Linked DNA regions of Schizosaccharomyces pombe. The protein of the gene in region 2 interacts with the protein of the main gene of each other region in a biochemical or structural test. Each region holds a gene or a part of one and is shown on either strand. Other genes may lie near its edges. The genes, in order: tif211 and hri1.

Region 1 (3,722 bases), 1.7 Mb from region 2:
GCTAAGTAATTTTTCCCCAATCTAAAGTCTGTTGGTCTTCCCATTATTGAATGCAAGCATTGTTGTTTTTTTTTGGGCTTTAATATCCGCTAATTTTTCACCTGTTCCGAACTTACTATATTTGATTATACGTTGTTCAAGCTGTGTATATGTGATTTGCAAAATGGTTAATTTATTAATCATATCTTCACGATTACGAATCCTTTTTATCTTATTCTTGTCCTTGTTTGTTTTTCACTCACATAATAAGTACCAGATTACTTGTACATTAAGAAATTCAGTTCTTTAATTTCCCCAATCCTCCCCAAAGCAGATATTACACGCCGTAGCTAACCACAGTAATAAGTCTTTTGTAACTTTATTATTTGTAATTGCATTTGTTGTCCATTATTTCTACTATATTGGAACTGAACTTATTATTGTACATACAAAGGAACAAGATGCAGCGTCTAGCGTTTTCATATTATCTCGTAACATATAAAAGAACTCTTACGCATTCGGAAAAAAGAAGAGGAAATTTTTTAACCATAGATATCACTAGATAAATTTGATAAAGTGTATAGTACAAAATAAAAAGAACCCCAGATTATAATGGAACACTAAAGTGCCAAAAATTCACAATGAAAAAGCGTATATTAGCTAGTGTCTAATCCATTTACTCAGAACCGCTTTGGTCATCCTCTTCATCACCAGAGATTTCAGCATTTTCCTTTTCAAATTTTTTCATCAAATCGGCAAGCTCCAATTCGTCAGTTTCACTAACCGCCTTGGGTTTCATTTTAACAGTACAGGTACCATTGGATGCTGTAATGGATTTTTCGATTGCACCAATTGCCTCTTCTAGCTTTTTGAGACCCAATGACTTATCTAATGCGTTTGTCAAAAGGACGTAAAGTGGAGGAGCAACAAGTTTAACTTTGATAGGAACCTCCTCGGTATGAACATCTTCAGCAGCCTTCAAAGCGGCCTTGATAGCGTTAATACCTTCGTAGCCAAAGCAAGTGACTTCAACGTCAGCACGAATTTTAATGGGCTGAGGCGTCAGACGACGAGAGATTTGAGCCAACAAATCATTAATAACACCCGATTTGGGAGGTTCTAAACCCTCAAAGACATGATCTGGGTTACTAATAGCAAGCTTAAAGGCGTCATAAGCATGTCCATATTTGCGGTATAATGGCCATCCAATTGTGGTATACATGGTCTCCAAAGGAACATTATGCTTCTCAGCAATATGGCGCATAATGGAATGAACAGCCTTAGATTTGTTGAAGCGTTCTTCGCACTTTACAACATCCTCAGGGCTAACACGGCGCTTTGAAAGATCGATGTATCCTTAATCCTGGTTAGTACATTCCTAACAACTTATAAACCTTTTTTCCCCTTTTGTTTTTCTTTTTTTTAAAAAAAAAAAAAAAAAAAACTACTAATAAATTCTTACCTTTTTCCTTGTCGACACGTAAGACCACGACGACTTCATTACGACCAACGCGAATATGCTTTTGTACTGAACGAATACGACGTCTGGAAAGCTCAGAGAGCAAAACCATTCCTTCAATATTATCGTATTCCAACAATTTTACATAAGCGCCCATCTCCTGGATTTGACGAACTATTGGAAATATTAGCCATTACCGTTTCTTTAGACAGACAACATGTGCATTTTTTACATACCGTTGACAACAACGAGTTCATCCACTTCCGGGAAGCGATTCTCGTACATTCTGCAGCTTGTCGTCGACATTTTTGCAAAGTGTTGAGTGTTTGGTTCTGAGTAAAAATTTGTGTGGACTACCCACTTCTAAACTCTAGGGGCCAATTTTGCTTCTTTTCAGAACCCAGACATTGGTCATTTTAACTTAACTGTTTATCAATAATTATTCTTTATATTTAAAAAGTTTCCTTAAAGAAGATTTATTAGTATCTAAAAGCACATAACGATCGGTGATAACTGGCTTACCAGCCGAACGCTGAATAAACTAGCAGTAAAGTATTTAATAAACTAAAGTGTTTAATAAACTACTAGTTTACTACATCGTTTAGAATTACAGATAATATACTTAAACTTTCTTTTCCCTCAAACGAAAATTACAATTGGAAAGTTTACGAATAGAAGACTCTGTCTAATTGATTCCACTTGTTCCTTTGACTAGAGTAAAGAATTATTTTATTGAAAAGTTGTTAATCCATTGCCTTACAAACCATCCATCACCGTTTTTTGGATTACAAAAAAAAGTGAGAACTCGTATTAATGAAATTCAAAAGGTTATCAATGCCAAACTCAAGAATAGTTGAGGAAATGTGTTTTCAACAGTCTTTGAATATAAACTATTACAAACAAACTTTTTTTTTTCAATGCGCTTCTCGTAGATACATTGAATCAAGAATGCATCTAAACTTAGTAAAGACAACCAGTTGAATATGTCTTTTATATAAATATAAAAGTTCTTTAACACTTGTTCATGAAAATGAACAAGATGTGGTACTAATTTGTGAATTGTATTTCATTTTTTGTCTGTTGTGGGATGTCCTCCATTCCGATTCGTACCTGGTCAATACAAGAATTGCGCTGTAACGAAAGTACTCATCTAGTACCTAGAATGAGAAAAGCCGCTTTAAATTAATTACAAGTATTTTCCAAATATGTTAATATAAAAAGAAGCAAATCATCAACAAAAAAAGATGAGCCTACAGCACCCCGGATTCCCATGTTGTCTCCAACCATAGTACTAACGAGGCCCTCAGACGCTTAACTGCAGTGATCGGACGGGAACTGGTGTTTTCGCCTAGGTATGGCCGTAGACGTTTAAATAGTATATTTATAACATGTATAAGCAATAAGTTTTTGAAGGCAAAGATAGAAAGCATTTAGGGAAACTGATGTATTCAATCAAACTGATAAAATTAAAAACTGTTGAAGGCATATTTCAGTATGCTGTCTAGTAAAAACAATTGAAAACAATAAAACGTACAAAACTTAAATCAGGCCGCGATGAACTGGTATGTATATAATTGCCAGATATTTGCGCAACGGTATTCTTGACAGTGCTATGAAAGCATCAAAAACAGAAAGGGGAAACTTAGTCATGCAGTTTGACGAAGTTTCATTTTTACTTTGGTTGAACGGCACGAGATTCCTCATTTTTAAAACGAAGGTAATATTAACTGTTGATCCTACAGCGATTCTTCCATTTTATTAATCAAGATGTCCTTGAAATCAGCAATCAACTAGTAACGGCAGAATTTGAGTATGTATATTCGATGAATTGTGAGAAACCCTATTTACAAGAATATGCATTAATAAGTATCTTAGTATACTCATTTTGTAGCTTTCAATGCTTATTAGAAAGGCCGATCTGTGATCGAAAAATATAAAAACTGCTCCGGCAGTGACTCGAACACTGGACCTCCTGTTTACGAGACAGGCGCTCTACCACTGAGCTACAAGAGCTACTGTTAGTTTGCACCATTATAGAAATATATAAAATAAAAATACTGTGTTTTTCATATTTTAACATTAACAAATTTAACATTTATCTCGAAAAACAGTTTTACGATTCTCATAATAAACCTTAGGTTTCTTATATCTAAAAATCTAAAAAAATATATATATATATATATATTTTCTTTTTAATCCACATCAATCTGTAATATCTGTTGAATGAAAAATTCCCGGTTGTTTATGAAAGCCTCCCCCAAAAAATAATCAATTTATTATAATA
Region 2 (5,144 bases):
GATACCTTTAAAACTAGCCGTCATCATTAACAAGCAATAGCTAAAAAAGGTGAAACCATCAATAATATGTCCTATAATTACAGAAACAAGGTTTTTTGCTCGTAAACAATCCTTTTTGAGTTCAGATATAAGAAGTAAGGTAAAAGACTTACTAGAAAATTACTGAGTATTTAGAACATAACTTTCTTTGTTCGGTTTAACCGACGTAATATGATTCAAAGCAACAATTACATATGCAACGATCCATTTTATTGTACCCGTTAAAGAACAAAGAAATACTAACTGTGTTCGAAAACTATTTAGTTTTCCGATAAGTTCAAGCTCAAACACAAACGTAATTGGAAAGCGACAACTTGAAAGTAGTCCATATCAGAATTAACTGAATAATGCTGGAAATAAGTTTAGTGTCCATTCTAGTTTATATTTATTAATAAATGTTTTTTAAAAGACATTGAGAGGGTGGCGTACATACTGTGTCTTTAGAATAAGGCGCCTAATGAAGTGCTAGTTTACTATCACGCTAAAATTAAACAATCGCTTCTGCTGTTTAATTTATAGCTTGATTGATATTTGTTTTCCATAAATGAAAGACAGTTTGATTAAAAAGGATAAACATTTTGAGTACAAGATCAAGATCAAGAAAACTTAAAAAAATCAATCAGACTGTTGAACTGAAAACTAGCAACGAAAAAATGTACAAGATGAACTTTCAATTTAATATATTAAAATAAGAAAAATCTTTAATGCAGACTACTCTTTCGCACCTAAAAGCTCCAAAAACCATTCCAAGAGCATGGAAGATAACTCACTATAAACAAATCATAACAGTGGATAAACATAAAACGTAGGAAATATAAACATAAAATAACATAAACAACTAAATCTTGTCAAAAGCGAATTGTAAAAACAATTGAAGCAGTCCAAAGTAGTTCGTAACTAATACTAACAGTCGTAATTGGGGTTTAAAACTCGAAGTATGTTTAGTTCTGCTTTCAAATTGTTATTTCGTTTCTCAGCATCTTCCAATAAAGCTTGATATACATGAAGCTCATTGACTACCAAATCATGAAATAGATTGCTAGTCAAAAGTTGAGCAGCAGTTGGGCGCTTATTCGAAGAGCTGAGCATTGACCGGATTAAGCTAGCTTCCTCTGGCATGGAATCCAAGAAATCATGGGGGAAAATGCCCTTTTTTAAATTGGCGATAGCTGATGCCCTTTCCATGCGCGTGTTAAAAGGATACAGTAATTCAAAAAAGAGTATGCCCAATGCATATATGTCAGTAGACGAGTTGTTATTCATTACCGATCGCATGTGTTTTGAGAAAAGTTCAGGAGCTGCATACGTACTTGTACCGACAAAAGAAGATTCAGCTGAGGAGTTGGTCCCCTCTTCCAAATTATCTGACTGAGAAAGAACAAGACCGAAATCGCCTATCTTGGGCACAACACATAAAGTTCTTTGGTTCACTGGTTCGTACGCATTGCTAACCTCAACATTATCTTCATCAGAAAAATTAGGTAGACACACAGAGCAAGGCTCAGAATGTACACCACTAGATAGAAAAATATTTCGAGGTTTCAAATCACGATGGACTAAATGCATAGCATCGTGAAGATACAAAACGCCCTCTAAAATCCTTGCAAACAGTAAAATATAACAGTTACGTAGGCCTTTAGACATTACACCGTGAATATGCTTATTTCGTCTGTTTATGTGTTTCTCGAGTGTTTCTTCGCAAAGAGCCATTTGTATGTACAAACATAAGGGCTGTTGATCAAAGCTGGGAATATTGGAACATTCATCTTCCTCTCTTTCGGATAGAAATGAATCCATAAGTAACATTTCAGAAGCTGACTTCGTTGGCGCCAACTTTCCTAATGTGTCGACTTGTGATGTTGTTGAAGAACAATCATGTGACTCGGCATAATCCTGATCGGCCTCTTTCTTGAAAAGATCAGTCAAGTTGCAAGTCGAATTTTTGGTAGAGTAACAAGGAGTTAAATCATCTGCAACCGAGTCCTCTTGGAATAGTATCTGAACTGATGAAGGATAAGTATGCTGAAGTAACCCAGTATCCATATCAAACATAAAATTATCTATATCTGCTGATTGAGATAATGTCTCATCTGCCGAAGCTAAAGGTTCTTCTTCGATTTGCTTTTCAGATGACGGTAAGAGCTCGACCCAACTAGAAAAGAATCTTATCACATTGGGATGGTTTAATCTTGCCAAGGTCCTAGATTCACGGAATATGTTAGAAGAAGTGGAGAAAGAACGTAACCGAAGTGGAATTTTTTTTAAAGCATATTCAACTCCATCGAATTTATTTCGAGCTTTATACACTGAACCATAACCGCCTTTACCAAGTAACTCAAGTTCTTCAAAATCACTTGCATATCTTGACCTTTGGACTGTGGGAAAGCTATCAAAGTTGCTAAAAGACAAGTTACCGGTTCCATCTTTGTGCTCACAAAAATCAGCAAACGTGGAGGACTCCAAAGTGGTTTGTGGAAAGCAAGATTCCAATGCTTCAACTGGTAAATGATTTAACCTATTAGACAATACGTTTACTGAAGGCTTGACATTCATCACATCGTCTTCGTATCCACCATCACTCAATACGCTCAAGAAGGAAGCAGTTTTCGCCAAAACGCCATCAGGGCTGGAATACCTCGATTTCTTAGAATCCTTAGTAGAGCTCATGGGTAAGGTACTCCGAAAAGCTTTAGATAAGAGGTTATGAAGAGAATCGGCATAAGCATTACGAATTGGTTCAAGCTCCTCGGAGAACTCAAAATCTATGATACCTGAATTTTGAAGCGAATGAGCAACATATAAAAACATTTGCTTCGATTGCTCTGGAGTTTGATCAGAATGCTTACAAAAGCTTTCTAACAACGCAACGAGAAGCAACTTGCAGGAACTTTGAGTATCCGCGGTTTTTTTTTCGAAATTCTGTTTGTAACCGAGACCAATTGTCGGCATAATCCGACTGATATTTTCCTTGGCATAGTTGCAATCCCTTTTCGAACATTTAGTAGAAGTGCCGAGCATTCTTGTGTGAATGAATCAAATCAAAGCAAATAAGAAAAGAGAAAGAAGAATTGAATAAGATGAGTAATTTAAAACATGAAAATTATTCCTTTTTTTTTTCTCTAAATGAAACGAAATGTACAATCCTAATTATCAGTCTATATTGAATATATAACAATAATAGTAACAATGCTATCTATGAAAACAAGAAAGAATTTGCAATTAAGGAACGGTAAAACTATTATAGAAAGAAGGTACGTTTAAGTCAATTTATATGTCTGTATATGTGTTGTTTATGTAGCGGATTTCCCCGGATACCTCTCCATATTTAAGTTATTGTGGGATTTTCACTATCGTTACCTCTATTGCGATACCAACTTTTCTAGGTAACAACGTTCAGCCCCTTTCGTACTGAATGTTGGTACAGTTTACATGTGTAGCCGACTGCATCGGAGGAGGAATAACTATCGAACATAGTCAATTCCGATGACAGACAGCCTGAAATTTTCGCACTTTTAAAGAGGAACTCGCCATTTTCATCACTTCTACGTAAAATGTATAGCGATGCCTCCAAAGTACAAGAAAGAATAGGCGGAAATTAATAGAAGCTACAGTCAATGGCATATATCTTCTCAAAAAAACGATTAAAATATTCAATTTTTATTAAGTATATATTTCCCATTGAGCACTTAAATGTTCAATTGAGACTTTATAGATTTCTGAACAGTTGCTTGTCTAAAAGATTAAAGAAAGATGAACCAAGGTTTATTCATATTCAAGTTAATTGCTTGAAAACATACGTTTGTGTTTAATCGTATGTATCTCTCATTGAAAACGTGAAAACATATGGATTTTATCAACAGATTTTCTGTGACTTGAACATTATATTTCTTTTTGGTGTTATCCTTTTAAGAGATATCAACGGAATAGTAAAACACTGAGTTGCCGAGATTACAACAACTGTATAAAATAAATAAAAAAGAACGGTAAGATCGATAAAGGAAGAGAGAGAAAATAAGTATAAGCATGGTAGATGTTGATTAATCTCTTTTCATTTTAATGTACATTAAAAATGTGGCTAGTCACTCATAACAATTATTCGTTAATTAAATCAAATCATAAACAAATTGAAGTAACCTTAGTCCACATAGGTACTAATGTAGTATGTTAAAACAGCCGTATGTTCATCTTCTGGATCTGTTATATAAACATAAAGTACTAGCGCATGTCCTTCACAGAAACCTGTAATGTAAAAAGGTTAGTTCGTGGTCATAAAAAGGATTCTCTCATAGTACATACACGCTATTACACGCTTTGCAACACTGGATATTTTTAACATGTTGACTAAGTCCTTGCTGTCTAGTCTCATGTGAACAAATTCTTCGGGTGCCCTTGTTTGAGAGGGATGTCGACTGATGTCTTCGACTTGACTAGGATCTAACTCTGGATTCTCTAATCCTTTCCATTTTGTGCTTACTCTAGCTGAAGGTATGTTTACCGATAACTGCAATTCGCCTGACATGTTGGCTGACATTATAATACGGTCTGAAAGACTCTTGTATTTGTCCACGACGTGTCTTAGAAAATTCAGTTGTGGAAGGAATATATGACAGTCTGGTTCAGGAGCAGTTGGTTCCTTAATAACTGACACGTATGATTGTGATAGTACTCGAACAGGTATATTATGAGTCACAATATTCGAACCAAACGCCCTTCCACTCCAAGTGGTAGACAACGAAAGTAATGGCTGGTTATTCTTCTTGGATAGACGAACAGTAGAATCACTAGCGTTGGCCGCTGATCGTAAGGCTTTATAGAAATTATCTATAGGAACTTCTAGATTTATCACGTTGTCTGCATTGCTTTGGACGACATAGTCCTCAAATATTGTTTCCTTTCCGTTTACGTTAGTTAGGGCAATCAAATAGAAAAAGATAGTTAATCATACGACTTCTAAAACTCTGTTTCTTTATTAGTTTCACAATGTGATTTTTTTCACCGTTAAATGCTTAATATCTTCACTTACGACCAAACTTGAGTCATCCTAAAATCTGGCACTATCACAAAATTTACAGTTTCAGGCATCAGACGAAGCCAGCAAAATCTTC

Evidence for each region.
Region 1: of the proteins of hri1 (region 2) and tif211, one has a biochemical effect on the other in vitro, tested with the Schizosaccharomyces pombe proteins (2 studies listed by BioGRID).

The regions. Positions count from the first base shown.
Region 1 is NC_003424.3:3,164,478-3,168,199, reverse strand, and holds tif211 (translation initiation factor eIF2 alpha subunit), read right to left. Parts: upstream 1,773-3,722; 5' UTR 1,745-1,772; coding exon 1,675-1,744; exon of another isoform or gene 1,613-1,674; coding exon 1,442-1,612; exon of another isoform or gene 1,336-1,441; coding exon 656-1,335; 3' UTR 501-655; downstream 1-500. Other genes in the region: png1 (chromatin modification-related protein), read left to right, coding at 1-9. UniProt on the Schizosaccharomyces pombe protein: eIF-2 functions in the early steps of protein synthesis by forming a ternary complex with GTP and initiator tRNA. This complex binds to a 40S ribosomal subunit, followed by mRNA binding to form a 43S pre-initiation complex.
Region 2 is NC_003424.3:4,817,317-4,822,460, forward strand, and holds hri1 (eIF2 alpha kinase Hri1), read right to left. Parts: upstream 3,336-5,144; 5' UTR 3,058-3,335; coding exon 943-3,057; 3' UTR 696-942; downstream 1-695. Other genes in the region: formin Fus1, read right to left, coding at 1-27; checkpoint clamp complex protein Hus1, read right to left, coding at 4,175-4,278, 4,336-4,930, 4,985-4,997, 5,063-5,144. UniProt on the Schizosaccharomyces pombe protein: Mediates down-regulation of protein synthesis in response to stress conditions by the phosphorylation of the alpha subunit of eIF-2 (tif211) on 'Ser-52'. Protein synthesis is inhibited at the level of initiation. Activity is inhibited in the presence of heme.